2 linked regions of the Struthio camelus genome follow. The main gene of each other region encodes a partner of the protein of the gene in region 2 in a complex. Links are inferred from orthologs where the notes say so. Each region holds a gene or a part of one and is shown on either strand. Other genes may lie near its edges. The genes, in order: NMU and NMUR2.

What was found.
Region 1: the proteins of NMUR2 (region 2) and NMU are in contact, whole or in part, in a cryo-EM structure (PDB 7XK8), measured with the Homo sapiens proteins. The link is inferred for Struthio camelus from reciprocal best matches to the Homo sapiens genes NMUR2 and NMU. Residues at the interface, in NP_064552.3 of Homo sapiens: Ser42, His43, Gly98, Glu102, Glu105, Met106, Trp107, Arg108, Asn109, Tyr110, Pro111, Thr123, Phe126, Glu127, Asn181, His185, Pro199, Ser201, Thr203, Cys204, Val206, Tyr213, Phe284, Arg288, Phe291, Glu295, Trp297, Ser298, Glu299, Ala302; in NP_006672.1 of Homo sapiens: Glu146, Phe152, Ala153, Ser154, Gln155, Gly158, Tyr159, Phe160, Leu161, Phe162, Arg163, Pro164, Arg165, Asn166.

What each region holds. Positions count from the first base shown.
Region 1 is NC_090945.1:56,461,636-56,477,319, reverse strand, and holds the start of NMU (neuromedin-U), read right to left. Parts: upstream 8,408-15,684; 5' UTR 8,387-8,407; coding exon 8,236-8,386; intron 7,871-8,235; coding exon 7,760-7,870; intron 4,628-7,759; coding exon 4,569-4,627; intron 632-4,568; coding exon 584-631; intron 483-583; coding exon 423-482; intron 1-422.
Region 2 is NC_090954.1:12,814,543-12,829,593, forward strand, and holds the start of NMUR2 (neuromedin-U receptor 2), read left to right. Parts: upstream 1-8,663; coding exon 8,664-9,380; intron 9,381-14,564; coding exon 14,565-14,649; intron 14,650-15,051. UniProt on the Homo sapiens protein: Receptor for the neuromedin-U and neuromedin-S neuropeptides.

The sequences.
Region 1 (15,684 bases), on a different chromosome or scaffold from region 2:
TCCTTCCCGCTGTCAAAAGAGATGTATGTAATCTTTTGTCATATCTAGAATATGTGTTTTTATGTTTCACTCTAAACTGAAGCTTCAGTCCTAGCCAAAAAAATAAAAGTGTTGGCTGCAGCAGATTCTCCCAAGTAAATTTGTTTCTTCATAGACAGCTGCATAATTTTTCTCATCTAGAGTAATATAAATATCTGAAACCTTGTATCTGAGATAGAGATTATTCTCCAAACACTGGAATTTCACAGCTGTCTTCAACAAGTGTTAGATTAGGACACGTAGCATTTCAGAGTAAGAATTGATAGTATTACTTCAAACACTGAGTGACACTTCAGATATTGTCTCTTCTGAATTCACTGTAGACACTGGCACACTGAGTGAGCATGCTTCAGAAATACTAAGTAGCTTTTCATGTGCATTACCTGTGGTTTCTGGAGAAATCCCATGGCCAGAAAGCAAAGTTCTTCCAGTGCACTGGATGCCTAATGCAAAGAAAACATGAACTCAGGCACCACACCTCCACTCCTGCTGCATTTAATAAATAATATCAAAAATAAAGTAACCTCTATCTAACATGACTCACCTGAGGATGAGAATCTTTGGACAGGTAGGCAGAACATGCATCATCTATCTGTAAAAGTTCACAGAGTACTCTTTAAGAAATCAGTTTAATGTAATACATACATTTTCAAAAACAGTTCAGTGCAACCAAAGGCATGGCAAGCTTATCCACCATAGGGAATTCATATAGGTACATTCCTAAAATTCAAGAAGAACAACCACTCCTAAATGAATGAACAAATTTACCCTTGCTTAATCTCAACAACCACATACTAATCTGTATCCGTTATTCTGAAATACCACTCATGTCCCTCCTATTTCTAAGCTTCTCAGACTCATAATTTAAATGAAGATTGTAAGCTTCTGAAGCATGGACTCTGAATGTAGATATCTTCTGTGATATCTTTTGGTTATATAAAACTGCAAAGAAAATGGCAATACTAAAGCAAGTGGTTCAATGTTCACAGCCCTCAAATACCATTCTTCTGACTGGGTTCCAGCATCCCTGCAGGTGTATGACACACACCTCTCTTGAGCAATTAAGGCACATCTTATACATCCCGGTCCATTTGTGTGAGTCACCAATCAGCCAGACTCCACGGTTTCCACTGATTTCACTGACAAATGAAAAGCCTTACAAGATCTTGTTTACAGGAGTTGGACCCCAAATCACAAGGCTAATAAGAGATATATTCAGTATATTTCAAAGAATCTGGACTCAGATCAAAAAACGCTGTTGAAAAAGTCACTGCCTTTGGACTGGGATGGAAGTGACACAAATAGAAAAACAAAACCATCCTCCGCCACAGACCAACCCAAGAAACCCCTGCCCGCCCCAGTCATTTCATCAGGATCAGAACAAAGGTCCATTTAGCTCCACATCTTACCTCCAAGAACGGCCAAACGTGCCCCCAGGGAAAAGCATAAGAAGAGATCAGCTATCTAGTAAAACTTGTACTCTCCAACCACTGCCAGTCTGGAGCTCACAAACTTTGAGTCAGAGGTCATTCCTTGGTAATAAAGCTCCATGGACTCCTGTTCTGTGCGTTTGGCCAAAGTGTGAACCCTTGTAAACTTTTAACATCCTCAACATCCCGCAGTAAGGATTTCCTGAGCACTGCATGAAATACCACCTCTTTGTCTTGATCAGTCCTTTCAAAGCTAGCTTCATTCACTGCTATTGCAGTCTTGTCTTGAAAGAAGTAATGAACGATCCCCCTACCCACCCTCTCTTTACCATTCGTGACCTTGTATAGACCTTAATCATGTCCTCTTTCCATTGTCTCTTTTCCAGGCTGAAAGAATCCCAGACTACAGAATCATTTCTGGTGCAGTTATTAATCAGGAATATTAATCAGGGGAGAAGAAATAGAAAAAAGGACATTCAGATTCATTGAAGTTATTTTACCAGGGCTGAAAGCTCGAAGTATTCTATAGGGAAGCCAAAAAATCTCCAGTACTCCAACTGGAGATGCAAAATTTAATAATAATGAAAAAAAGGCTTAACTTTTCATTATATAATTTTAAAATTGTATCAATAGCAACCTGCATTAGAATACACCAATTTTTTCCATTGAATATTTGATACTGTTAGTTTGGATGCCAAAAAGCTTTGACAATCATTATACTGTTCACAGTTTGCATCAAAAATGTTTTTTTTTTCAAATGAAGAGTGGACAACACAATGGGTCCTTTAATTTTATTATAGATAAAAAGCCCTAAAGAGCACTCTTTAGTGAAGAAAACATTAAGTGAAAAAAAGCAATAAAAATAATGCATATTTGAGTACTTTAAGACAAGAGATGATTCATTTCTCTAGGGACAATCTATGAGAAAGCATTAGCAGGGATAGTGAGAAAGCTAATAGCTCACAGGATTCCCCTTTCAAATAATTTTTGTTGGTAACATATCCTCCCCCTGTTCTTTTCCCTTGATTTTACATTTGCTCCTCTCTGGGAACATTAGTTCACCTTCACTACTGAGATTTCAGGGTAAGAAAACGTAAACAGAGAAATTAGCGGCAAATAAAATAAATTAAGCTGAAATCATTCTGTAAGCCCAAGTTAAAAGCCTCTTATTTCTTCTTGGTGAAGGTTTATTTGTTTTTTTGGTTGTTTGTTTGTTTGTTTGTCTCTTTTGTTGCTGGAAGTGACTATTAGACAACTACCATAACTCAAGGGCAGGGAAAGGCAGAGACTGCTTTGTGGTCATCACAGTGCAAAGCAGAGGGTCTCTTAGCTAAAACCTGCACATAAAAAGGAAGGACTGAGGAAAAGTCATAGTTTCAGGACTTGGCAACTGTTCTTTTCTTAAGAAAAAAATAAGAATTGGATTTTTTTTTTTTTAATTTCTATCATCTTTGATGCATGTTCTCATTAATTTTCTCTCCTACTTCAGAAAGGTGGCATGAGGATGAGCGCTTGTGAGCTGTTCGGGGTTGGTTAAATAGAATAAAGGAATGAACTGGTGTGGGAGAACAGTAAAGGAGCACTGTAGTTACCAAGTTCCCATATTTATAAACTCAGAGTCATTCCTGGGAAACTACTAATTTAATTTCAGCTTTAATTTCCTGACCAGAATGATCAACTAATAAAGTAAAAAACAAAAAAAAAGATTCTTTTCATTCAGAGAAAATCTGGTGAACTAGTATTGTTCAGACTGATTTAGAGTGCATCTAATTCTCTTTTCTTAGTTTCTCTCCAGGCATGCATTATTCTAGTTGTAATTAACAACATTTTATACTGATTATGTTACATAATTTCATACAGAATTTAGTATTTTATCCATACTTTTCCATGCACTGAAAAAAGGAGCTTTGCCTTTGCCCCCAGTGGCTGTTGGAGCAAATCTTGTATTACAAAAGCAAATCAAAGAGTAAATGCAAAAATGTGTAAAACAGCATCTTTTAATCCAGAATTTAAATAACTCATTTTCATAAACTCTTCTAGCTATTAGGATCTTACTTCCTGAGACATCACTTTTCTCCCAGGACATAAACATCATCAGGCCTTGTCCAGGTGCCAGTCTGTGAGTAGGCTGGTCTTGGAGTCAGTAATTCTGAGATGAAAGAAGGGGAGCTGTCAATAAGGGAAGTGTGTCCTGGAAAGGCACCAACAGGAGCAAATTTACTCTGTATATGTGTACCCATTTCTTTCCATGATGAGTTGCTTGCTTTCTCATGTTATCAGAAGCCACAGAATGTCACCACAGTCCTTCAGGATGACAGCAAGGGGAGCATGGCACGTTTCAGGCTAGCCCTCTCTAAATGTTAAGCCCTGCTGCCCCATCTGTTCCAAAAGGGCACAGAAGAATCTGTGTTAACGCACATCAGAACAAATGTGTGTAACTTTAAAAGAGGGGACCGGAAGTCAGAATAGCAGTCAGTATTAAAATGTTAAAGGGACATTATCCCTTACCTAGTAAATTAAGATGCTAGGATATGATTAAATACCCAGCCCTGTGTGCAGAACTGAAGAAGTAAGAGATAAATTGGATGAGCTGAAACAACTACTGTTATCATGTACAAACTATAAAAATACTAAATGGGACACCATTGTTTCCAGGGACAGTGACTGCCTGATGATTGACAGTTAAATAACAATGGTTCTCCAGCACAGCTCTCCATTGAGCCAAGACAGTTTTTTTCCTGAATAACACTTCAACACTCAGCCTCATCATCCTCCTGGAACAACTGTTCCGAAAATCCAGAAAATAAGGCGTTTTACTTCTTCCCTGATATCAAGATAGGAGATGAACAGGAGAGGTAGGACTGGGAGAAGCAGCACCTGAGCTCCATGCGTGAGACGTGTGGGAGAGCGAGGTGTGAGACCAAGGACTGGCACAGAAGAAACAGGAGCATCCCACACAGCATTTGCAGCTGAGGCCTGAGGTATGCATCTGCGGTGTTTTAATCTTGCATCCCTGGCCTACTCCCAATAACTGGAAGAATCACTGCCAGCTGTCACCCCTACAGCAAAGGGCTGAGTCAGCCTGCCCATCATGCTTACCTCTTTCCACAGCTGCAAATCCTGATCTGCCTGTAGGGCTTGGGATGGCATCGGTGCACCTGGAAGCACAAACAGGGCTTGTCAATACCATACAGCAGAGGTCATTTTCATAAGGATTCTATGTCAGTGATTTAGATAATAATTCTGAACATAATACAATACCCTGCAAGTCTCAAGCACCTTTATTGTTGACTGTACAGTGAGCTTAATGCTCTGAGGGCATCTCCCACCTCACCCACTCCTAGATTGGTCTGGCACTTTCTGCCCACTCTTCATTTTCACAGCAGCAGCAGGTTCCTTCACAAGGTGGCGGCAGATATGGACACTTTCATCTCTTTGCAATATACAGGGTGGAAATGGCTTCGTTTTCACCAACAGTCAGCCTAGCATTAGTCTATTCTCAGCAATAAGTAGCAGGCAAGAACATGTGTGCAGCAGCTCTCCAGCTCTAGATCTGCTCAGGAAAAAATATTCCAGCATCTACAGCTATCAAGTCCTCCAGCTTTCTGAGAACTCAGCTCACCTTCAGTTCACTCATTTGACGCTGAGAATCTGGATCCTACTTGTTACTGTGGTATATATTACAATTAAACATGTGCGACGTAACCTATTCAATAATACATGCATTTCAATAATACATGTGACATGAATACGGCATTTCTGAGAAAGAAATAGACAGTATGTATGTAATTGGCTTTGTTTCTTCTATCTGGTGTGTGCTATATGGAAAAGTTCAGCCTCTTAGAAGATTAGATGTATTCTATAATTTCATAAAGCTACGGTGGAAAGCTGAAGCTAAGGCCGTGTATAACAGTACAATCTGCCTTTTGCTGGAATATGGAGAATAATAAGTTGTACCAGAGACAGTGCAGCCTCTGTACTGATCTGATCTGGCAGAAGGAGTTGTTAAAAGCCACTTGGAGCAAGCTCTGCTGTGTGCCCCTGGGTGCTGTGCTTGGCTGGGGGCAGCTCCTCTTCTCCTTCTCTGCCCACCTGGGATGCAGACCTGGAAGTTACTATATCTGGGTCCCTCCCAGCTTAGCTCCCAAAATATCCAGCTTTCCACATTCTCATTATTTTATCTGATAGTGTATTTCTAGTAATAACGTACTATCAAAATCTCCCTAAATAACAGAAATCAACATCACTAATCTGGAACAGAGCACTCTAGAGATCACACTAGCATATCGGTGTGGGGATATGCTGTTAAGTGGGTTGCTGCTGGGGAAGAGTATTGTTGTAGCTGCAGAGTCCTAGGACTGCAGGAGACCCTAAGAAGTCATTTATCCCCCTGCCTAAAATTGCTGTCCCTGAGCCATGCCTGAGCAATAGTGGTATAGCCTGCTGAAGACCTCAGATGTCCAGTGGTTTTGTAGCCTCCCAGACAGTCTATAATTACCTGTGGTAATTTTTTTTTCCTGAAATGTTGAATGAAATTAACTGAAAAGAGAGATGAAGATAGACCTAGCACATAATGACTAGGTGAGCAAGATATGAATGCCCATCATCCCCATTTGTTTTACAAGTACCACTAATAACAACAGTAGTAATTTTCAGGTGTAAAGCAGTATATTTCAAAATCCCATTTTGGTACTCCAGACTCAGTGTGACTCATTATTCTGGATGCCTGTTCTTCCCACAAAAAAGTGGGGAGGTCTCAACTTCATCCTATGTAGGAAAGGGAAATTTTTCAAATCTCTTAGAAAGTTCCACATTGTAAATGCTTCCCAGTGAAAAATGTGCTTTTTTGATGTTTGTTTTAGTTCAAAGAGAAACTCCAAATAAATTAAAGGTGCTACAATTCTTTTGCTTTGTATCTTATTCTTAATTAATGTATTCAAACTGGAATTGTCTGCCTGATTCCCAAGACTTTCCAGGGGAAGAGAAGAAATCCAACAGCCTGTAAAGCTAAGAGCAGCTTTTTTTTTTTTTTTTTTTTTTCCTCCTTGGAGCAAAAACCTTTGAATGGAGCTTCACAAAATCCTTATTTCATTTGCAGTCCCATCTGTTTTGTGCTCAAACTGGGACTACGCATCTTCCAGCACCAAGCAGTGCACTCTTGCAGGCTATAGGGACTTCATTCATTTACATACGTTCATACTAACACACACTGGGAAACAGTAAGTGATCTTGTAAGATACACAAAATATCCATAGAAAAAAATTGATGCTATTCAGGAAAGCTAATTCTATTCAAAAGGAACATGGAAGAGGAAATCCTCCTACAGAATTGATGCTGTCCACTACATATTTGCTCTCTTCTCCTTCAAGTCTGCCCACTGCTAAAAACTCAGTTTCTTCCACGTCAGCAGAACGCCAGATGCACATTCTCAGTAACTTTTCAACCTGGGACTCGCTTCTTAAATATTCTTCTCCTCTTCCTCCTCTGCTCTCCCTGTATGGGCTCCTGGAAATCTTTTCTATAAGAACAGTGATAAAATACTGTGTGTCCATTGCCCATCCCTTCCCTCCTTTTTCTTCCCTTCCCTCTTTCACAACCTGAGAATTTATTTTGAATAGAATATTCAGCATAGTGTACTTAAATTTCTCTGCTTCTTGATATCAAAAATAAACCAAAATGAAAACTCCTGATGAAAGTAACTCACATACACAATACAAGAAAGCAGACATGCTCACTGCACATGTACTTCTTTTGCAATGATTCTCACAAGTCATATTAAGTATTTAATATACACAGAGTGCAAAAATAGAAAACAAAGTATGTTTTGTCAAAATGTCCATTATCTGTGCTTGTTTCACAAGCACTGCCTGTTGCAAAACCTGTAACTTTCATGTGCAACATGTTATATTTCAAACTAAATTAAGCTAATCAAATTCTGTCTCTAAAGCAAACAATCAAGTTCTATCTTTTTCCACTTAAATAAAACCTATGTGCAAGGCAGCACCCACGAATCCCTAATGTAATAAATATTGTTTCAGGTTGGACTAGATGACTTCCAGAGTCTCTTCCAACCTAAATTCTCCTCTGATTCTGTAAAACATATAGTTCCTCTGTGTTAGCATCTAAATCAAGTAAATTGTGTTTAAAAATGAAATCCATTTTAACACAAGCCACTTCCCCAAGTTGCTGGACTGTAGTTTTGCCAGGACAGAGGAACCCTGCAGGGACACATAAGGACACCCGCCCCCCGCCACAAGCCCTGCTCAGCAGCAGATAAGAAACCCCCTTACCAGGACTCGCTCTGCCTTGGCCCCTGACTGGGGGGCCTTCCTTGGCAAACCCTGCGTGGGCTCCGGGCTGGAGCCTCCTTCCCAAGAGCTGCAAGTTTGGAGCTGAAAGAGCTGCAAGAAGCATGAAGGGACACGGTCTGGCTGCAGCAGCAGCTCCCTGTTGGGTGTCAGAGCCCTGGACGCTGTTCCCGTGTTCCTGCTCAGGGGTAGCCAGGGCCCCGACACCCCCGTGGGCACCCACCCAGCCTGTGAGGTCCTGCGCGTCTCTTTGTATCTCTCACAAACTGGTATCTAATCCCACCCCAGAACTGCAGCGAGGCAGCGGCTTGCACGCAGCCGGCAGCTCCTTCGGCAGGAATTTCGCAGCCCCCTTGCAAGGCTGGCATGCTGCCGGAGGTTCACCTCCCCCATTACCCCCCTCCCCCCAAATGCAGAGGAGGCAGTGGAAGAAGGGGTTGAGGGAGGATGCTCCTAACCTTTGCAAGCACCCAGCCAGGAGGCGAGGAGGAGCAGCAGCAGCAGCAGCAGCGGGGACCCTGGCGCGGTGCTGCCGTCCCCTGCCTTCCTCCGGCTGCGCAGGGGAGCGGCTGCGAGAGGCTGCTGGTGGCAGAAGTTTCCGATGACCATGGTGTCTCCTGCTCTGCCTCCCTGCCAGCCTTCAGTCTGGGCATGCCTCTCTCTCTTCCCAAACTTTTTAAATCTCCCCGACACGTGGATTAGCATCAGCTTGACTCACCAAGGACACGTCAGACTCCCTACCACCCGCCATGCCCACCCCTGCCTCTTTTCCCATCACCCACCCCAGGGCCAGACCCTGTCATCGCTGCCTGGTAGCTGGTGACTCAGCCCCTCTCCCACCTCTGGGGGCAGCTCCCCTTGTGACTCGCCGTGCCAGTGCCCCTGCTTGGCATCAAGCTGAGGGGACGGGCAGGCTCTAGGCCCCTTCCTATTCAATCTCCTCTTTCAGAAAAATTCCTGCTTAAAAATCGCAGGTACAACACACCGAGCTGTGTTAGCAGCCTCCTGACAGTGAGCACACCAGGTGCTGCTTCTCCGCTACTCACTTGGGTCATTCACAGTAATGACACGGGGGTGGCAAAGGTGAGTTTTTCAGACACTGTCCAATCCCAGCCTGGAGAGGAGAAGAGGCATGAATTAAACCTGGGCGGTCACACACACAGATTTGCCCCAGCCTAACCAAAGCCAGGAGATAAAACTCTCAGAGCTCGCACGCGGGAGAGGACCTCAGCAGTTGGGGCCAGGCGCTCTGCGAACACGCACCGCCTGCCTGGGAGCCGCCGCTCCCTCCGTTCCCTACAGGCACCCACCACTGCAGAGGCGTCACTGACCCCTGACTTCCCCTACCCTCTGCGGCACAGAGAGTTAGGAAACCACTCCACTGCGCAGCTAAGGAAAGTGCCATAAAGGCATAGGCTGCTGGGCCCCTGGGCACACCAACACCCCAGTCGGCGCTGGCTGCCTCTACCCAAGGCCAGCTGGGACAGCAGCGCAGTTTGGACCCTGGATCAGAGACCTGTGTATTTCAGCTCTCTGAAGAGCAGCGAGAAGTGCAGGCTGCTCCGTTCTGCTCGGGAGTTGCATTTAAACTGGGCCTCTTGCCCTTAGTCTTTGCCCGAGCTCTGTTGCAGCCATGCCCCTGCCCTGCTCATGCGCCCCATGATCCAAACCTTGACCCACAGACTGACTTCCCAGCTTGCCCGCAGACCTGCTCCATCACCAGGGACTTGTCTGACGGTCTGGGCTCTTGCCTGAACTTGGCCACTGTCACCAGACCTGCCCCCTCACCCTGCACCTCACTGGTGCATTTCATCCCCAACAGGGAGTTGTCTGAACAGAAACCAGCTTCGTAACTTGAATGTGAGTGACTACTAGGACAGCAATCCCATACACATACAACAACACATCACGAAACAGTACATAGCAATATGGTGATATCTGGGAGTTAAAATCCTAACACAGTGCTTAGCAAGGCATTTTACTTAGGCTACAGCTGCAAACCTTGTTCCCAGGCGTTATTTACTATGCCTTGTCAGATCATAGATAGCCAAGATAACTCCATTATAAGATATTCAAATGCAACACCAGATCCCAAATCCGTAGAGACCTATGGGCAGCATAGGCCAGCCAGCACTGACGCACAGCAAGTCCCCACTTACCAGAGCTGCTCCCCCAGTGCACAGGTGCCTCTGCTGCCTGAGCCACGAGACTGTGCTGCTGCCAGTAGGACACCAGGGCTGGTGCTGGCCTGCCCCTCACGCCAAACCAAGCAGCGGAGTCCAGCCTCCCGCAGGCGTGCTTCGCAGGCGGTCCCTGCTCCCTCAGCCCTGGCCTCAGGAAGATCCTGCACTGCTGAGGTGCAGCTCTGATGCTGAGACGCTGCAGAGAGTATTTCACGGCAGGATCTCACAGTTTACAGTTTAGCCTCACGATTTATTTCTCATTTTTTTCCATTCTCTCCCATTGCTTACGTGGTTGTTTTATTTTTCTGTCTTTAAAAGGAAATAGACCTAATGCTCCAGCAATGAGACAATGGTATTTTAGAGACTGTTCTCTTCAAAAATAAATGTGCAGTTTTTGGACATTTCAGTGAATTTTCGCTGGGGGCAAATGGTGGGTGATGGTGTAAAGCTGCCTGACAAGAACAGCAGGTGTCACTGAGAAGCAAAAGACAACTTTGATTTGTCACAATTGCATTTATATCCACTCTTTGCCCTTGCACCAATCAGTCATATGTTCTACAATTTGTACTCTGCCACCATGAATACTCCTGACAGGCCATCAAAACTTTGAAAAGTTTGCCAAGCAGGGTGCTAAGAAACTACATAATTCTCTAAGAGAAGAAAGATCCTTCTATCAGATTCAGTAATGAAGCATTCCTTAATAAGATAGGGAAAAGAATGTGTTGATGGATAACTGGCAAGTTATCAGAGCACTACAGAAATTAAACAAGCCTGTATTTTGTATGTATTACTGTATTTATATCTACCTAATTAAAAGAATTGTTTTAAGCCAATCCAAATCAAGGAACTGCATTTGGTTCTGCATTCTGCTAATAAAAACAGAAGACATTTACTTAAAGGACATTATCCTAAATCCTATCCTATCCTATTATCCTAAATCCTATCCTATTCATCAGCCCTGAAGAATATCTCCCTGATGTTCTATCTTGGTTCAAATGCATTAATCTGTGTCCTGAGCACAGGCCTAAAGAAGGATTTAATTTGTTATATATTTTGTTAACTAATGGTTTTTTTATTAAATATTTAATAAATATAACAAATTATAGTATTTTATAAAGTTGAAAGTTGCATACCTGTAAACATTCCATTAAGTGGTGCACAAAATATTTTAAGAAGAGTGAAAAAATGATACTTCTTGAAATAAATTTATTTTCACAGAATCACAGAATCGTTTAGGTTGGAAGGGACCTCTGGAGATCATCTCGTCCAACCCCCCTGCTCAAGCAGGGGTCATCTAGAGCACATTGCCCAGGATCACGTCCAGGCGGGTTCTGAATATCTCCAGGGAAGGAGGCTCCACAGCCTCTCTGGGAAACCTCTGCCAGTGCTCTGTCATCCTCACAGCAAAGAAGTTTTTCCTCAGATTTAGATAGAACTGCCTGTGTTTCAGTTTGTGCCTGTTGCCTCTCGTCCGGTCGCTGGGCACCAGTGAGAAGAGCCTGGCCCCGTCCTCTTGACACCTCCCCTTCAGATATTTATACATATTGATAAGATCCCCTCTCAGTCCTTCTCTTCTCCAGGCCAAACAGGCCCAGCTCTCGCAGCCTTTCTGCATAGGAGAGGTGCTCCAGTCCCCTCATCATCTTTGTAGCCCTCCGCTGGACTCTCTCCAGGAGTGCCCTGTCTCCCTTGTACTGGGGAGCCCAGAACTGGACACAGCACTCCAGATGTGGCCTCCCCAGGGCTGAGTAGAGGGGCAGGATCACCTCCCTCGACCTGCTGGCAACACTCTGCCTAATGCACCCCAGGAGACCATTGGCCCTCCTGGCCACAAGGGCACACTGCTGGCTCATGGTCAACTTGTCGTCTACCAGCACTCCCAGGTCCTTCTCTGCAGAGCTGCTTTCCAGCAGGCCAGCCCCCAGCCTGTACTGGTGCATGGGGTTATTCGTCCCTAGATGCAGGACCCTGCACTTGCCCTTGTTGAAGTTCAGGAGGTTCCTCTCCGCCCAGCTCTCCAGCCTGTCCAGGTGCCTCTGAATGGCAGCACAGCCCTCTGGGGTATCAGTCACTCCCCCCAGTTTAGTATCATCAGCAAACTTGCTGAGGGTGCACTCTGTGCCTTCCTCCAGGTCACTGATGAATACATTGAACAAGACTGGACTCAGTACTGACCCCGGGGGACAATGCTAGTTACCACTGAAAGAGCTCTGATTAGCCCCAAACTGCATTTGTGATATCTGTTTTAAACTGTAGTCTGAAAAGTTTTGCTGAATCCACTTGCATAGAACATATTAAAGGAGATTGAGGATGATGCCAAAAAATTTCCAGTCAGAAAAATTCTGGTCTTCCATTTACTAGAAAAGAAGCATTTAATACTTCTCTCTATGCTTTGAGTTGTATTGCTCCCTAATCTTTCATCTGAAACTCAAATTTTGTTTTCAGCTGATTCCTGTTAACGAGCAAAAGCAGTAATCATTAAACATGCAAACCTATTTGTGCCCTGAATCCTAGTGGACTGGAGTCTTCCAGCACTTCCAACCCAATATGAACTGCATTTTCATTTTAGACTGTGCCTTTGTCCTGATTTTAATTTACCTGACCTCTGACATATGGGTAAAGTAAACAGATTTGGCTATCATCTTCCTAAACATATCCTAGAAGAACAACTTAACTATTAATAAAAATGCATATTTGCAATAAACCTAAACTCAACTTTATACTGATACAAAATTCCTACTGAGATCTATGTGGATTTTGACAGAATAAGTTCTCCAAACTTGGATCTCAGTTTATGTAAGTTTTGATGATGAACTTTACACAAGCAACTCACAGAAATGCAAGTAATAGACCATTTGTGTAAGCAGGAGAAAATACATCTTTCTGTATTGTATCTGTTTTTGTTTTGTTTAATTGCTTGATGAAATTGATGTTACACTATTGCAGGAACAAAGCACATCCTCATTAAAAGAACAGCTTGGAGGATGTTTTGGATGCTGTAATTAGCTTCTTTGAAATATTTATGTTCTTCCTAATGTTGCCTGAATAATGTTAATTATGGCTAGTGGAAAGGAAATCAAACAGCTGAGTATGTAAAACCATCATCCTCTCCATCTTCAGAAAAGTCAAGGTCAGGCAGAACGTCACTGAATCCACTGCCTTTCTGTGCATACGCATACACAGCCTGTGAAGAGGTCGATCCACACTGTTTTTTCTGTGACTTTGATTTAATAAAAATGATGAGAAACCATTCCACTCACGTCTGAATTTAAACATTGAGATACTTTTTATCCGTACTGTACTTCCTTCACCAAAATATTCCCGACTTTATTAGTGCAGAGTGCTTGAACTGGGTCAATGTAAGCAAGCACACCAGTGTCTCTCACAACTTCAAACGGGTACACAAACACTTTTTGCCCTTCTATATAATGAACAAGTTGCAAACATGGGTATTCTTCTAACCTGTTTATGTTTTGCCTCCACCAAGCTTAGTTCTCTAAGTCTCAAGCATCAATTAATCCCTACTCAGAAAATGCACTTCTTTCTTTAAGGTATTGTCCTCATATATTACTGACTAATAATGCAGATTTATTTCCCTACAAATAGGAAACAGCAAACAAAAACCAAGCCATTTAAAGCATGATAGGCCCTATATTTTTTCAGAACAGTCTCTTCTTATTTTATTCAAAATAATTCCTCAGCTCTTCCTCTACGAATACAAAAAATTTAAGTGATCTCAGAAGTTTCTAGTGAACTATAGAGGAGAACTTCTCCGAACTACTTTGGAACTCTGGCTGCAAATGATCCCAGAAATCCCAGCCCCTGGGCTGAGAGGACTGCACTAAGAAATAGTGCTAGGACTGACTGCTGCAGATATTCAGAGCTATCTTCAAAACCTGAATCTTTTGTATAAGAAGGTCCTTGCATACAAGAGAGATGCTCTTAAATGGGCAAAGGAAATTTGCTCGATGAACAACAGTGACTAAATTCAGGAAAAACAGTATTAGCGCAACTCTTGCAAACTAATGGAAACCTATTTAAATTAGGACTAAATTTCGCTCACCACGCACAGAGAGACTGAAGTCTCCTATTCACAGACATATAGTATGGGCAAAAACTGACCATTTCCTCATTCTTAGTTCGAAAGGAATTCATTACGGTAGAAAGGGAGGTCACTAAATTTCATCTCCACATTGTTTGCAGTCTCAGGGGAAAGATTAATGCTGCTAACTGAAAAGTAATGAACGTGGAGAAAAATAGCCCATGTTGTACCTGTGCAGCAACAGGAAGTAAACCATCATGTAAGAAAGAGACACTGGAATCACCATGGATGGTTCTACAAGGACACAAGCTCATTGCCCAGTGCAGTAAAAGGGGAAAAAAAAATCAATAATATTGAAAAAAATTAAAAATAAAAAACACTAATCAGCCACTGTACTAACCTGTGGTGCAACCACATGTGGAATACTGCGGTTCCGATCACCCACAGCTAAAAAATGCTGGAAATTGTGGCAAGTTCAGTACAAAGCAAGTTTGACAAGACTAGGACTCTTCAGCATGGAAAAGCCAAAACTTACAGAGTGATACAGTACTTATCTATAACACACATATATGAACAATGTAAAAAAGGTGAAGATAAATGATTTTTAACTAATTCTTCCATCAACATTCCTCATTATTTCCATACAAAACATGGAACTTGAAACAGAACAGTTTGTTTTATGAAGTCCTGAGGATAGTACAAAAAATTCATTTTCTATTCAAATAAAAGTAATACATTAAATAATAATGACAGCAGATGAGTAAGAAGCACGGTCTCATAAGCTGTTTGAAAAGTGGCTGATCTCCAAGATCATACTTTTCTCTAATAAAGCCCAGGACAAATCAACAGCTGTGATTGTTTAAAAAGGAACATGATTAGACTTACCTGGGAAAATAGGGTTTTGAGCAACCTGTCAATTAATGACACTTAATTAATAAAATGATTTAAAAAAAAAAAATCAACATTGCTTTCAGAACTTGCAGGTTTTGTAAGTAAAAAGACCTTAAGCAGAAAAGAAAAGTGACAGTGGATGGCTAATAACACTCAAACTGTTGTCCTGTCTTCCACAAGACTGTGAGTTGAGCTGATGATTTTATAATAGAATCATTTCTCTTTGAAGGAGAAACAAACTAATGCCACCTAGGAATGGTTTACACTGTTTTATTCACAATAGGTACATAATTCCAACTAGGAGGAAGGCTTTCTGGAAATTTTGCTTACAGAACTCTGATGCATTTTGGCAAAAGTTGTGTGCTCCCATTGGCTTCAGAGAAAATTACAATCCTAGGCTTAATTTGATAGATTGTCTAAGCTCTGACATTTCTCTGAAAAAAAGATAAGATGAAGAGATGTAAACACTGTTCAATGTTTCCCTTTATTTTTTAATAGCTGAGAATATTAATCTCAAAATCACCACAGGTTTTCCCCCAGCTTGCTAGTGAGGTACAGCTAATGCCTACTACACAGAGTTTCTCCGCATAGGTGCGGCATGCATATATTTCCTTGGTAGTTTGAGGGGAAAATAATTTGTTACTATGAGAAAGGTGCCTGCAAGATTCCTAGGTTAGGATCATCCTTTCATTATACATAAGTATCAAGCACAGCATAGTAGCGTCCTCATCCTTCGTTACTGGTTTCTTTACTGTACCACACTATTAATTTTTAATAGTTCTTTAGGTTAC
Region 2 (15,051 bases):
TCTGGGTTTCTATTAGCTTGAAGGCACGTACAACGCTGTCAGCCTAACTGCTCATCTCTACAGTTCTAGGAACCCAATAAAACTATTAGTTAATGCGAGAGACACACAAAGTACTATCTGTACATCTTCCCTTTCAGTTCTTCTGTTTTGCATTACATCACTTCTTGTCAGCATTTCAAAACATGGTAATTTTCAGCCAGAAGAAAGAGAATGTAGCATCTTCCAATGAAATGAAGGGCCACTAAGACGATTTGGAGGGTTTGGAAGCTGTGGGACTCCCCAGAGGTTTAAGAGACTTACCACCTGACACTGTAGCAATGCAAAGGCTATCTCCAAGGTTTCGAGCTAGTAGCCTGCAAACCTTCAGCTTTAATCCTGGAACTTTTAACAAGTCCTCATTTTTATGCCTCAAGCACAAGTCCTGAATGATTTCTGGAGCAGATTTATTACTGCCTGCAGACTCTCCAGTACCAGCTCGCTACGCATGGTATCCTCCAAGGAAATGTCAAGGTAGATTTAAGTAAAAAGTTCTCAGTGCTGTGAAAAATTGTGGTATAGTCTTTCTCTTCTGTTATTGGTAACATAATGTTAGGAACCAAGGTTCTGAACAGCCTTTAAGATTCTGAGTCTCATGAGTATCAGAGAGACTCAGGCTCCTAGATGCCTGATAAATCTGGGCTGTGGATACTGCTTCCTTTCTCTTCTGGGATGGTTGAATCATTTCAAATGGCAGAATAGAGAATAATGAATAACAATGTAGGACTAATCTGGTTTATACACAGTGTTATCTTGGAAATACCAATGGTAAAGAGCCGTTCTTCAAATATTAGTGGTAACAGAGTCCATGCAGGGTAGCTCTGGGAAAGGCAGACTAAAGCATAATAAAATAAAGCTGGTCGGGCAGTAGCTCTGCTGAAGAGGACTTGGGGGTCTTTGTAGATAGCAATCTGAACATGAGCCAGCAGCATGCCTGGCAGCAACAGCATCCCAGGCCGTATTAACAGGAGCATAAGTTGAAACAAGAGAAGATCAGACTGGATAAAAGGAGAAACTTTTTCACCATGAAGACAGTCAAGCTGTGGAGTAAGTTGCCTGAATAGGTTGTGCAGTCCCCATTCTTGTGGGGTTTAACGACCCAGCTGGTTAAAGCCCTGAGCAACTTCTGCTGACCCCGTAGCTGACCCTCCACTGAACAGGAGGTTGGACTGGAAACCTCCAGAGGTCCCTTTCAGGCTGCTTTAGTCTGTGACCCTACGATTCTAATTCTTTCCAGGCTTCTTGTTGTTTTCTTTCTTTCTGTCTTCCCTCTTTGTCTCTTTCTTAGCCTTTACAGGGTGTTCTTCATTTGGTGTCTTCTGTTCATTTTGCCCTTCCTTTTTCATTCATCCCCAGAGTTTCTTTGTTTAGCTTTCTAATATGTTTGTTGTTTCAAGGTTAAGTTTTCTCCTCCTCCATTTTATCCCTTCCTTCCACATTGCAGCCCTCGCTAGGTTCTTCTCGTTTCAAGCAACATTGATCTTAAACCTGAAAGATAAAGTTGAAAAATAAAACATCAGACTTGTTAGTTCTGTTTGCCTTACTTAATCTATTTCTGATGCCCTTTCAGATTTAATATTATTGTTAGTTTAAATACAGCTTACTGTATTGGGAGAACAATAACTTGAGTCAGATTTGAGTCATTTCTCTCTGCAGCAGAAATTCATTTTATTAAAGGCATTTTAGACATGCTCATATGTTTATCAATAAGTGATATATTTAGCTTTTAGTACAATCGGAGCAAATCAGTAGAGTTCTGCACCAGCTCAGATCTGATGGGGTGTGTTTGCAAGTGAGCACAGGTAATGAAGCTGTCTTGGCCAGGCAAAATATCTTATCAGTCTGGACAGAGGATGCTAAACCACTCTCCCCAGTAAAGAGAGGGGGACTGAGCCAAACGTGCACAGCCACAGTACAGTTAATACTGGGGAAGAATAAGGAAAGCTGCACTTCAGTGGCTATGGCCTCAACCTTGACGTGTGGGCAACGGTATAAGGAAACGGCCAAAGAGCATTCTCCTGAAATCTGAAATGAGGAGGGGACAACCTTCACTCCCTTGCCTGTTTGCAGGTGTCTGTGTGGGAAAGCTCCTCAGCCTCAGGAGTTCATCTTTCAGCAATGGGAATAAGGTTCCTGACTGCAGAGTGATCTGAATCCTGGCTGGGGAGGAGCTGACCTAGCAGAGCTGCGGAATCTCAAATCACCAGGTCATCCGAGGGGGCCAGGCCAGCTAACCTCTACCCTGGTCCTGCACATGGGACCCGTTGTCTTCACTGCATGTGGATTGTTCCTTGTTCCCCTGCCTCTCAGCTCTCACAAGGAATTTTTTTGCAGTTCTGCTTGGGACTACTCATAGAGAGCTCACTCGCTGCAAATCATATAGGTGTTCTTGAGGTGTGCACTGCAATCTGAAATTTTTTTTTAAGAAGTTGATCTGCAGTTTGTTTTGCATGTCTAGGGCTCATTAGGCTATTTGAAAGCTATAGTAAATTATCTCTCTGCCATATATTTTTTTCAGCACTGCTGTGTCTAGAGCTTTCTCTCTCTCTCTGACTTCATAGCAGGAGACGTTCATAAGAACAGTAGCCTCCCTGGCTGCATTTAACTAAGTCAAAATACAGCTCATAAGGATAGCTTAATGGGAAAAAGAGCAGGAAGAGAACATCATGTGACAGCATATTAATGTTCCAAATTATGCACATCTTTTGATAAAATGTTTCATTAGTTCCAAGTCAAACAGTATTGGTTCTCATTGTGACACAAAGACAGCTGATCACTGTAATCCAACTTGCAGAGCAAGCTGAACAACAGCAGAAGAAAGAAGAGAATGGGAAACTCTTGACAAGTATTTTTGCCAAACAGTCTTTCTAATGAGCCGTAGGATAATACTTCTCCTGGAGCCAAGAAAATTGAAACATGCATAGATAATTTAAAGATGCCCTTTTGGAAAGTAGGAGCAGGAAAAAAAGTTGTTTCAGTTTCAATAAGTTTCATTATTATTATGTAAACAGTTCTAAATTGAATGTTCATTTTTTAGTATAATGTAACATATCACTGCATTTCAGGGGGGGAGGGAATAGAGTGTATATATAGTTTTCCAATAAGAGTAAAACTTTTCACATAAACTTCATTTTCTTCACAGGCAAGTAGACCTCCACACCAACCTTAAACAAATAAATGTTTAGTTAAGGGATTCTCTTAACATTTCTTTCATATACTTTTATCTTCATTTTATATATAGGTGCCATATAAATTCCATGTGTCCCATTTATTGTTTTTATTGACAAATTCAGTTATCCTATAACAAGTTGCAAGCTTTCTACCATCTCCAATAATACAATGCATCACTGCACTTCTTTGAATGCATTAAGACTCATCACTATGATTCCTTCCATCTCATCAGTGCATACGACTTTTACATATCCACGCACTATGCAGACTCTAGGATATGCATGTTTTTTTCCAATAGAAAAAAATCCCTAGGTGAGCAACAGAAGCCAAATGTATGCAAGCTGAAAAATAATACTGATAAGTCATGTCAGGGTAAAAAAGATGAAACTAGTTAAGTCTCTTGTGGGTCAGACAAGCAAGCGAGATGGGCTCTCCAGAGAAACATGTATACTGCAAGGAAAAGAAGAAACTGTAGTGGAGTATCAATGTTGTAATAACATGCAGAAAGCCATAGAGGGATGCTGAATAATCTGACTCTTCCTGCGTAAGTCAGAGCCCTGCAGAACCAAAGAGTTTTGCATTCCCTCCTGACTCAGGCAGTCTGAGTCATTCTGTATCGTGCTTGCAACGTCAATATATTTTCTGCCGTGACCATCCTTTCATCTTCCCCCACGTAAATCAGAGCCACTTCATCATGATGGACGCATTCAGGATGACAAGAGTTTCTGCATCAGCTTTCTTTTCCAGCTCTTTTTGATGTTCAGCTGCACACTGAGCGTGCACTACATCTTACCTGTCACCCTCTGCCTCCTGCCCACATAAACACACACACACAACACCCCACTTATGAAAAAGGAAGGACATTGTTCCCACTCATTACCAGGATGAACACTGACAAAACAACCCATCACTGAAAGCCATTTCAGTGGGTACAGAATCACAGTCACAGAATAGCTGGGGCTGAAAGGGACCTCTGGAGATCATCTGGTCCAACCCCCTGCTCAAGCAGGGTCAGCTAGAGCAGGTTGCCCAGGACCGTACACCCAGACTACCAGACAAGAAGAGACCAGGGAGTGATTTTTAGCACTGAATCTCTCACTGTCCTTGCTGTTTACCTGCTGTCTTGCTCTCAGTACTGTTTTTGGCTGTTCCGGCTAGCTTCTCCAAGATACAGCCTGGAAGTGGTTCACTCTATTTAGAGTCCTGCAGATAATAGGGAAAAGTAAGGTCTTCCAGTTCACACCTCCTATCTTATATTATGGTTTAGGACAAATCACTTTCTGGAGGGTCCCCTTTCTATCACTGACCAAAGAAGGAGCCTGAAAAGTTAGGCTTAGTTGCTGTTTTTAATGACTAAAGTTAGGTAAATTACCTGAAGTGCTCTGTGTCTGCACTGTCTGTATAGATTGTCAGCTACACCAGTCACAGAGGTGTGCTCCTTGGTATTTTGTACTGTACTCATGAAAGCCACTTCTTATGTGTGTTGATTGATATCCTGGGGACTTCAGATATCATGCACAGTCATGGAAAAACCATCTGCCTAGAGCTCAGATAATTGCAAAATGACTAACAATAAGGCAAGGCTACTGCAGATCCAGCTATTATTATAGCGCAGCTCACTCCTCCAGCCCGGAGGGAGAGAAAATATACAAAATATATCACGCGTTTGATGCTGCCTTGAATGTTATACTGAATACTTAGAAAGACGAGAAGGACTTACATGCCAGGTACAGCAGTGAAACAACTAAACCTTTGTAAGAAGAAAGAAGAGTCAAATCAACAGTCTATAGTTAAAACTTAGTAGTTTCTAGGCAAGGGTAGTAATTTTTTTCTAGCACTTATGTTAACATATTCAGTGCAGAATATCTTAATGCTTCTGCTTACCAATTCTACAGCCTCTTCTTTGCATCCCTGCGGGCCAGAGATGCTTCATACTGCAAAGTTATTAAAGGAATAGAACAGTGGTTTTGAACCAGCATTTCACAGAGCTGTGAGGATCTGCTGGCAGCTCCTACGGGGTCCACGAGAGGACTCAGGAAAGCAAGCTCCAACAGGCTTGGGTGCCCTCACAAGGGCTTTGGGCAACATGAAGGCACCTGAATTTACCGCTTCTTAAATATGCAACGTATGTGCTCTAGCGCTGTTACGTCATCTAAGGAAGAGACTCCACAATGTAAATGTGGCATGAGAAATACCACAAGCATCTTGAGGGCACATTTAGTCCTGAAGGAGAAAAAGCCACATCGTGACTAGTAGGGGGACAGTGCAGGAATATTTCCTCTGGGTTAATGTTGCCAAGCATATTATTCAACATTAAACTGCACATTTCTAAGGCTAGCATGCAGCACACTGTCTTCCTTTGAGTGGAAAACGGAAAGCACTGATGAAGTATGCATTATAATGGAAAATACAAAGTGTTTTAAATTCCTTTCAAAAGCAAAATATGTTTCTGTTTTCTATTATCTCACTTGTAAAAATAAAATGGTTCCAAGTATGCACATGCCAGGGTTAGCCTTTGGTTGCTGGATGTGCTATCTGATCCTTATTGGGACAGTTACACTAGAGAACACTGAAGAAAGCTTAGATAAATTAACTGAATTATATTTTCCACTGTCCTAGCCTTTCTTGTCCCCTCTGTCTGCCACTTAATCATGTCATAGTGACATGGTTCCAGGAGTGATCTGTTAGACAAATACACCTGTTTTCCTCTGGTGGTCTCACTCTTAAAGCTCATTAGCACTAGAGCACAGTACGATTAGAAAGGATCAGTGAGAGAGAACGAGGGCAAGTAGACACTGGTGAGCTTGGCACATCCACACATTGAGGTGACCTGATGTGTTTTGACAGCCCATTGCTTTCCTCTCACAGACATCATGAGAGCTTGGCTGCCTTGCTGGCTTTTTCAGTGAATGATTCAATCCATTTTGATTTCTTATCAGTAGGACTGAGTCCAAGCTGAGCAGACCTCAAGTTTCCTTTTCAATTCTTTACAGGGGTTAACGTATAAGAACAAAAGTGAAGACCAATTTGGTCATTATTTTTGAAGTGTTTACTCACCTCAGTCATGATGCTGTAGAGAGTGGGAGAACTTGCTAGGGGGGAAAAAAAGGAGAGAAATTGAAAGAAATGAGGTATTAAGGGCAAAAAAAAACCCCACTGTGGATATTAGGAAGAGTCAGAGAAAGTGTTTAGGCCTGCACAAATTCTTCACAAGTGTTTGCATCCTACTGCGCTCTGAAACGTTTAATCCTGATCCCCACCAGGCACCCCATTAATGACTCTCCTGTTCCTACCTGTAATGCCAACAGTAGTTTGCAATCAAATTCACATTCAATTGTTAAAATGCAATGAACCTCTTTCAGATGATTCCTTAATGAAGGGAGAAATAGGTCAAAGGGGAACACTCGTAGCTTACCAATCCAATAAAACAGTTTACTTGGCTCAACACGATGCCTCTGGGCAATGCTAAAATAAATCAGTAGAGGCTTTCTGATGGAGAAGATTTACATATGAGATAATTTCAGTGGATCAGAAAGTTCTCACAAGAGACACGCATCTGTCTTTTTGTGTAGTTCTTGTGGTATGTTCCATAACTCTAACATTTTAAATGAATGCACACTAGTAGAACAAAAAATCCTCAGAGCTCCACACATCTGATATGCCTCAATTCAAACCGCTTGGTCTCTGGGACCAGACCTTGGTTCTTTACCTACTGCTGCTATTCCTGGAGGCAGTCTGTGCCTATTACCAAAATATTTTCCTTACAAGGGTATTAGACTGCTACTAAAACAGAGGAGATGATTAGAGAGGGAAGGAGTAAAAGACGCAGAAGCTAAGACAGCTTTAATCCTGAAGTCTAAAAACAGTTTTTCTGCGAGATCAGGTTACTGCCTCGCTGCCCATAGTGGAGTGGCTTGCACCTTCCTTGGAAATACTTGGTACTCACCTCCTATCAGGATTTTGGAGGAGATGCTCAGCCAAGAAGCCTCTTCTTTTGTTCCTGGATGGTAAAAATATGCAGTCTTTGGTTAGCAGCCAGGGAAACTCAGGCTAAAGGGTCAAACAAAGAGAAGGAGGAGGTTCTTCACACATGGATACTAGATCCATGGAGCTCCTTGCCAAGGGATGCTGGGGTTGTAAGAAGTTTAAATGAACTCAAGGGGGGATTGGGCAGGTACTCAAAAGAGAGAGCGAGTGAGAGTTACTGAGTAGCCAAACTGCATCCCGCTGACAAAATCCCCCGAGCTCTCTCACAGCTTTTGTACGTCTACGAATCCAGACAGCTTAGCTTTCTGAATCTCCAAAGACAACATCCACGTGCTTTGAAGCTTTTTTTGTTTTAGCAAAATTCAGTAAGGAATTAAGAATTTATAAAGAGCTAACCGATCTATTGTGACAAAGCAGTTGTCTTTGCAGAATACACTTTTTTGGATTAGAAAGTATGTTTGCAGAATGGTTGCCATTCAGGAAGAAATGAGTTTATAAGCATCAATGGAAATTTTTTAAAAAGAAGTACCTGAAATGAATCCTGCTGGTACTAAATAACTCTTCGGAATAGTATGATGTTCTTCAAAAAGCATCTCAAAATGAAGCGAAGAATATGGGATCAGATTCCAGAACTCTCAAATCTCTGATCAAGCAAATTTGACAACCCTCCATGAAAATTTAATGTGCGCTTTGACGTAATCCTCCTTTACAAAATGAAGGAGGGAAAAAATATCTTGCTACCAATAAGAAGTGCAATTAAAATTCTATGTCAGGTTTCAGGAGAAGAAAAAAATTCTTTGTTTAAAAAAAGCTGAAAGTCAATAGTTGTTTAATTCCACATGATGAACTTCCAAAATAGTTTGGCCTTCTCCTGATAAATTTCTATTTCCAAGTACTTGCTGTCAGAGAGAACAGAAAGGAAAAATCAGCAGAGACATGAAAAAAAAATCTTTTTTTTTTTTTTTGCCTGTGGATTATAACTAGATGTAGCATCAATATAATTTCGTAAAAGCTTTTGGACTGAGGGTGTTTTGTTTTTTTTTTTTTGGTCTGGCTTCCCACTCTCTGACAAATAATAGTGCCCTGCAGCTAGTCTCACATCCTATATTTCGGATTCCCAGCTCTCTAAACCCCACATTTCTGATTCAGTAAATGCATCTGCTATGGGAGCTGATATAAGTAGCTAGAACCTCTTTTCTTACCCTATAATCTAATGCACTTAGCTAGCCAATGAATATGTGTGAAAGGAGGGGCTTTCTGGCTAAGGGACTCCTCGCTGGGGAGCAGCTGTTACAACGGCGAAACCTTCACCGAAACCAGGCAGACGCACTCAGATCTCTCAGTGGCTTTGTGTATTTAGATCTGGCAAGACAAGTCTCCCTCACTCTCTGCTAAAAGTGAGCATACTAGCACAGAGAACCTTACAGAAGTCTGGATCTCAGTGGGGAAACATTTCAGCAGAACCAGTAATGGCCTGGAGCACCAATACCTCCTGGTTTAATCACCTTGCTCTACAAGAACGTCTTAGAAGATATTTAAACAGCACTGAGGATTACTTAGCCTTCCTGTGTGGGCCCAAGCGGAGCCATCTGTTCTTGCCCATGGCTTTGGTGTACATTCTGATCTTTGTTGTTGGTGTGGTAGGAAACTTCCTAGTTTGCCTGGTAATCATCAAGCACCGGAACATGAAGACCCCTACCAACTACTACCTCTTCAGCCTTGCTGTCTCCGACTTGCTTGTGTTGCTTTTTGGGATGCCACTGGAAATCTATGAGATGTGGAGCAACTACCCCTTCCTGTTTGGGCCTGTAGGCTGCTATTTCAAGACAGTGCTCTTTGAGACGGTGTGCTTTGCCTCTATCCTCAGTGTGACTACGGTCAGCGTGGAGAGATACGTTGCCATCCTCCATCCTTTCCGTGCCAAGCTAGAGAGCACTCGGAAGCGTGCGCTGAGGACCATCATCGTGCTCTGGGTTCTCTCTGTCCTCTTTGCCCTTCCCAACACAAGCACCCATGGCATCATGTGGCAGTATTTCCCAAATGGCACCCTAGTCCCTGGCTCTGCTACCTGCACTGTGATCAGGCCCATGTGGATCTACAACTGTATTGTCCAGATTACTTCCCTTCTCTTCTACGTGCTGCCTATGGGGGTCATGAGTGTGCTGTACTATCTGATGGGGCTAAGAGTAAGTCCTACTGAAACCGTGCTCAGTGTTTCCCTAGCTCATTCTTTTGCGTGTGTGTGTGTGTGTCTGTGTGTCTGCGTGTCTGCGTGTGTGTGTCTGTGTGTGTGTGTGTGTGCGAGCGCGCACACATGCACATGCCTAAGTCTGATTTAATCTTTTTCTTGCCCATCTGTCTTCCCAAAAAAGACATTCATTTCTAACCCCCGAAAGTAGTGGATTAAACTCCTTCTTTGGTGTAACACCATTCTAAAATGAATGTAGCTATGTTGGGGAAATATTTACTCCAATCTTTTTTTAAAATTACTATCACTGCTGCTGACATTTCAAAGTTATTTTAACATCAAAATCTATGTATTGATTCCAGTCTCACAGAGCTTTGTACCTTTTCAGTGGGGACTAGAAGGAAACAGACCAAAAGAAAAATGTGAAAAGAATGAAAAGGAGTAAGGTAGTGATCGAATCTTGTGTATCATTTGTTTTCCCTCTTCTTGTGACTGTAGAATTTCTGTTTCATTCATTCTTCTCCTTCCCTGGAGAGTGTGATAATACTCAGTTTTTAAAACTCACAAAACTGTCATAAACTGAAATCCCGCCTTATTGCTGCAGGTAGCAATTTCAGCAATCATTTCTTTTATATAAGTATGGCACAGTTTCAACATAGATTAAGGCTACCTTGGAGTTCCTATGGAGCTCTCTTCAGAAAGTGGACTAGTTTCACAAAGTGTCATCATTTAAATATATGGATAAAACAAACACTATCATAGTATTATAAAGCTATGCAGCATGAAATGCACAGCTAGTCATAGTGAGTTGCTGATTTGTTCCTTTTCTTACATATATTTGGAAAACATACATCTTAAGCTCACTATCCTAAATATAACTTTGCATTTAAAAAGCTATGTCTGATCGTGTAACAAGGAAGGGATGCAATATACCTATCTGAAGCTACACAAAAGCAATTTTTCCATACTCAGGAAAAGCCATAGGGATTAATTGCCAGAAATCTATAGCACGCCACAAATCTTTGAAGGATGAATGGGTTAAATTCTTGCAAAGCTACAGTTCAGTGGTGACTGTGGGTTCTTTGCATAGTTTCACTGAAAATTTTGAAAAATAAGACCAAAAGGGAAGGGAAAGTACTGAAAATAGTGTATGTTAAAAAAGAAAAAGAAAGCCCAAAACTAGTAAAGAGAAACCTTGAAGACTGCAACAGCTTCTATTTGTGGCAATAGATATTCCTAACCCCCACTGTAGAAGAGAAACTGGGTCCCAACTGATGGCTGCTTCTTAGAGGTTTCTGTATAGCCACAGATTTGTTCAAGTCTTCTGTCCTAAAGGCTGCAATGTATCTTTGTTAATGCGTCTGCTTTTCTTTCTATCCATCTCAGACTTCCAAATTTTAAACTACACCTATCCCTGGTATATCTCCTTTGTGCTCCATGCTGCACTAGGCAAGATAGTTTTATTTTTCAATTTAAATGATGGGTGAGTGGTGTATATATACCATTTCCAAGAAAAAAACATTTTTTATCTAATCAAAGTTGATGAAATCTCTGAAGCTTTACCTACACCCTAGAGTCTCCTGAATGCCATGTATGGCTCATAGGCTGTAGTGGAACAATTCAGAATTGGTCCAAAGATTGTACAACAGCTCAGATTCAGCAAACAAGGACACAATCTTTCTGTTCTAATAGTCCAAGCTTTGGAGAAACAGCACTTTCTGACTGTAGTTTCTCCCTCAAGTTTTACCCAGTGCTCAGGAGAGCTTCAGGATGCAACACAAAAAGAAGTATGTGTGACATGTTAAGGAACTATGAGAGGGCAGCAAACGTGGATCACACAGTTGCTGACTTCATTTTTAATTGTATTCCTTATAAAAATAAAAAAGATATTTGTCTTCTTCACTGGGAAATTCATGGCCAACCGAGCCTTCAATCTGATTACCTCATTATCAGTTACCTCATGATCTACTTCAGTTTAATTTTAAGGCTTGATATTTTAGTACTACACTGCTATAGGCAACAGACAGTTGCAACGTTACTATAGGAAAGAGGACGCTGATGATTACACTGTAGCCTCATTAGATTTGATCTTGGAAGCTTCTGACTGTCTCTTTCCAGGAGTCCTCATCACAGAAGCCTTCAGGACTGATCCCTAAATTAGTCAGAAGTGCTCTCTCTTCTTACAAACCCAGTTCAGCCACAAGGCTACTGGTTGCAAGTTGTAGCCAAAAAGCTGAGGAGGAAGAGGCAGGGGCAGAAGTGAGAACATGGGGATACGGCTGCTTGTAAAAGCTAAACCTTACAGCGCTGCTAGAGGTGGAGTGGCATCACTTGGAGAGAGAAGTCTGTGCTGCAGCAGGATTCGGTTCAGGGTCCCTGTCTTTCAAACTGATCTTGAAGGCACAAGGGTAGGTGGCTACCCCTGGTTGACTGAAAGTTAGATTCCGGTGAGCTAGGATTTTTTACAGTCAGTGGAGAGAATGTTATTTAGCCCACCTACTTAGGACATCTATGAAGGAAATCTAGATGATCGGATGTGACTACACTGACCACACCTCAGTGAGATTATTCAAGAGACCTCACAAGAGACCAGCATTTATTTTGGTGTCAGCTCCCTGCAGTAACACACTGAACACACTGGTAATTTTGATTTCATCTTTGAGTTACGCCAGCTTGTATTTGCCAATGAACAGCTGGTCCAGATCTTCTCATCAAAATCTATTTTGCCCCTGAAATGCCCAGCTGCCCAAACAGAATCATTTGCGGACAATGACTGCCTTTGGCTAATTTCTGCAAAGCCCAGTGTACTTCTGGACAGGTCTATCTCCTTTCCATTGAGGTTGTTCTGCAGACTTTGTTCCCACTAATATGTTTTCCTTTGCAACAGGGCTGAGGAAGAGTACGTGCAGGGGACCACAGGGGTTCAGCAGCCTGATGGCAGTTCATTCAGCCAAATCACGGATATACAGGATCGCATGCCCTAGCACAAGCCATGTGGCTTTTAAACACCCAGTTCTCCATGAGCTGGCACAAATGTTTGATCACTGCTTGTGTCAGACAGGCCAGACATTTTTTAAGAAAAACGATTCTCTTGCTTTTGCTGAGTGACCTCACTAGGTTTGCCTAGGGATAGGCAAGGCCCTAATTTCACTCTGCCTTTTGATTTCTAGTATAAAATACTGTAGTTAATAAAGATGCAGGGCGAAAAAAATCCAATTTTCAGCTTCTTTCTCCAGATATTTTTAATTCTCCTGCAGGGAATGGGTAACAATCATCTCCAGGCAGCTCGACATAATCTCACAAACAGCCCAGCACATCCACAGTGATGTTAAAGTAACCATTAGCCTGGCTCAAGGTCTCCCTCTGGCAAGCCATTGACATGAACTCAAGCTAAAACCTTTGCCATAGACTCATTTCTTTTTCCACTTTGTCATAAGTCATTATTTTATTAAATTGCAACTGCTGAATTATTCTTACTAGTTATACCTCCATGTATTATCACTCAGCCTAAAGAGGACCTTATAGCATTATCAAAATGACAGGAGGAAGGTGAAAAATAAAGATATATGTCTCTAGTTTATTATAGTATCAGAGCAGAGTATTCTGTGTGGCTTTGGAGTATTCCTGGGATAAATTACTGTTGAGACTGAAAACCACTGAGGGAAAACTAGGGCTTTTATTCAATCTTAGCAGACACTTATCACTAGATGTGCTACAAATCAGCTGACCCTGTTCCTTAAGCGATGCGGTCGTGTCTAAAAATGACAAAGGGAATAATGTAAAACATGGGAAGCTAGTTGCCCTATAATTGAATATAATTCAGTTTAAATATACTTCCCTTTTACGGTTTATATCTATAAATAAGGCCCTGAAAGAAGGTCTCTTTGATCAAAGTTACAACATCCTTAAAGAAAAAGGCAGTTAATCAAAAATCATGAAACAGAACCACAGGAGAGGAGAAAGGAAGCGGCACAAATAGCATGATTTCGTAAGATTCTTACAAATTTTTTACATGCTTTTGTCTTTCCTTTCAGCCAATATCTGTTCCCATACAATTAGAAGTTTTGTTTCTAGTTTCTCTCTGTTGAAAAAAGCATCACTCCAGAGTTGTTGGCTAATCAGCACTTCCCGCTTTCAGAAGCTGTGTCCAATTATGCACCCTCCATAGATAATTCCTGTTATAATCAAAGCAAAAAAAAGTGTTTTTTGCCCTGGTTATCCAGCCATCACCAAAGCACCAGAGCTCCTACCTTAAGCAAATTGGGGAAGCATTTCAGGGAGGATCAGATTTTTGCTCTTTAGGTCCATTCTTGGAAGTCTAGGAAAAACTGCTAGGATAAAAAAAAAAAAAAGTTGTACTTGATCTGTATGTGGCTGAATCTGGGCATATTACGCATGCTGGCTTTCTGCAGGATGGGACAGATAGGCGATATTGTCAGATGAATTGAATATCAATTAGTTCAAACACTCAGGGCATGAATGAGCTCCCTTCAAATCTATAGGATTTTTTCCAGTGATTCTAGCTGTCTTTCAATGAGGCTTCTCTGGGTATTTTTGGATCATTGATTTGTGCTTAATTGCTTAAAAGGGGAACCTTTTTAGGGAAACAAACAAACAAAAAATATTTTGCTAGGAGACAAAATAATGTTGAAACACAAACTACAGGCTAAATATTGAATCATTGAGAAGGGAAGAGTGGGGAACTTAAATATAAATTTGCTGTTAACATGCAGTCTGAGGTGCATAAAATCAGCAGCTTGTTTTGAACTTATAGCTTCACTGTTTCCCTAGACTACAACTGAAATTTAAGTAAACATTTTTTCAATGAATCCTGAGTTTCCCCACATTTTGGCTTCTCAAACTCAAACTACAGCTATCATAATTTGCAAAGCCTATTCTCAACATCAATAGGAGGAAACTAAACCCTTTTACCACACTGTAATTCAACATCATCTCTGGTTCAGAGAACTGGTCTACATATCCTAAATATTCTTGGTTTGAGATCTTTATTAACAAAAAGCAAGCCAGACATAATGCTCAGGGACAAAACGGCTGGTTAACCATTAGCCCAGTGCAAATGGTCTTTTTTTGCAATGGTTTCATTCCCACCAGGAAGGTTGTATGTGTAGTGAGGAAGTCATCTCCTATTTAAGCTCTCCTTCTGCTTCTGTCCTTTTGCTAGTTGAAAGGAGACAAATCTTTGGAAGTGGAGGAAATGGCTGTGAATGTTCAGAGACCATCCAGAAAATCAGTCACTAAGATGTTATGTAAGTATTGGGGACCTTCTGTATTTTATTGACCATGGACAAGAGGCTATATGTACATCTCAGACAAGAGAGGGAAGTGCACATAGAATCTGTTTGGAGTTAATTCCTAAATTTGAAACTCCAGTGACTGGGTCCCGAAGGCTACCAAGCAACTCCAAAGGATCCAAGAGTCATGGATAGCTTATTTTCAAAAAAAATGCTTATTGCTGTTTTAGCTGGAGTCTTACAGACCATGGGAGCAAAACACTGGCTAAGAATCAAAAGAGGCATTTTCCTCCGCGTTGTAGAGCCTGAGAAAACTTAAGTGGCAGGTACTTGGATGGCAAGTCTCTGTTGCATCCCTCAGTCCACACCTGGCTTTTGCAGCCTTGTAGCGTGAATCCTTCTATCTCAGAGTACAAA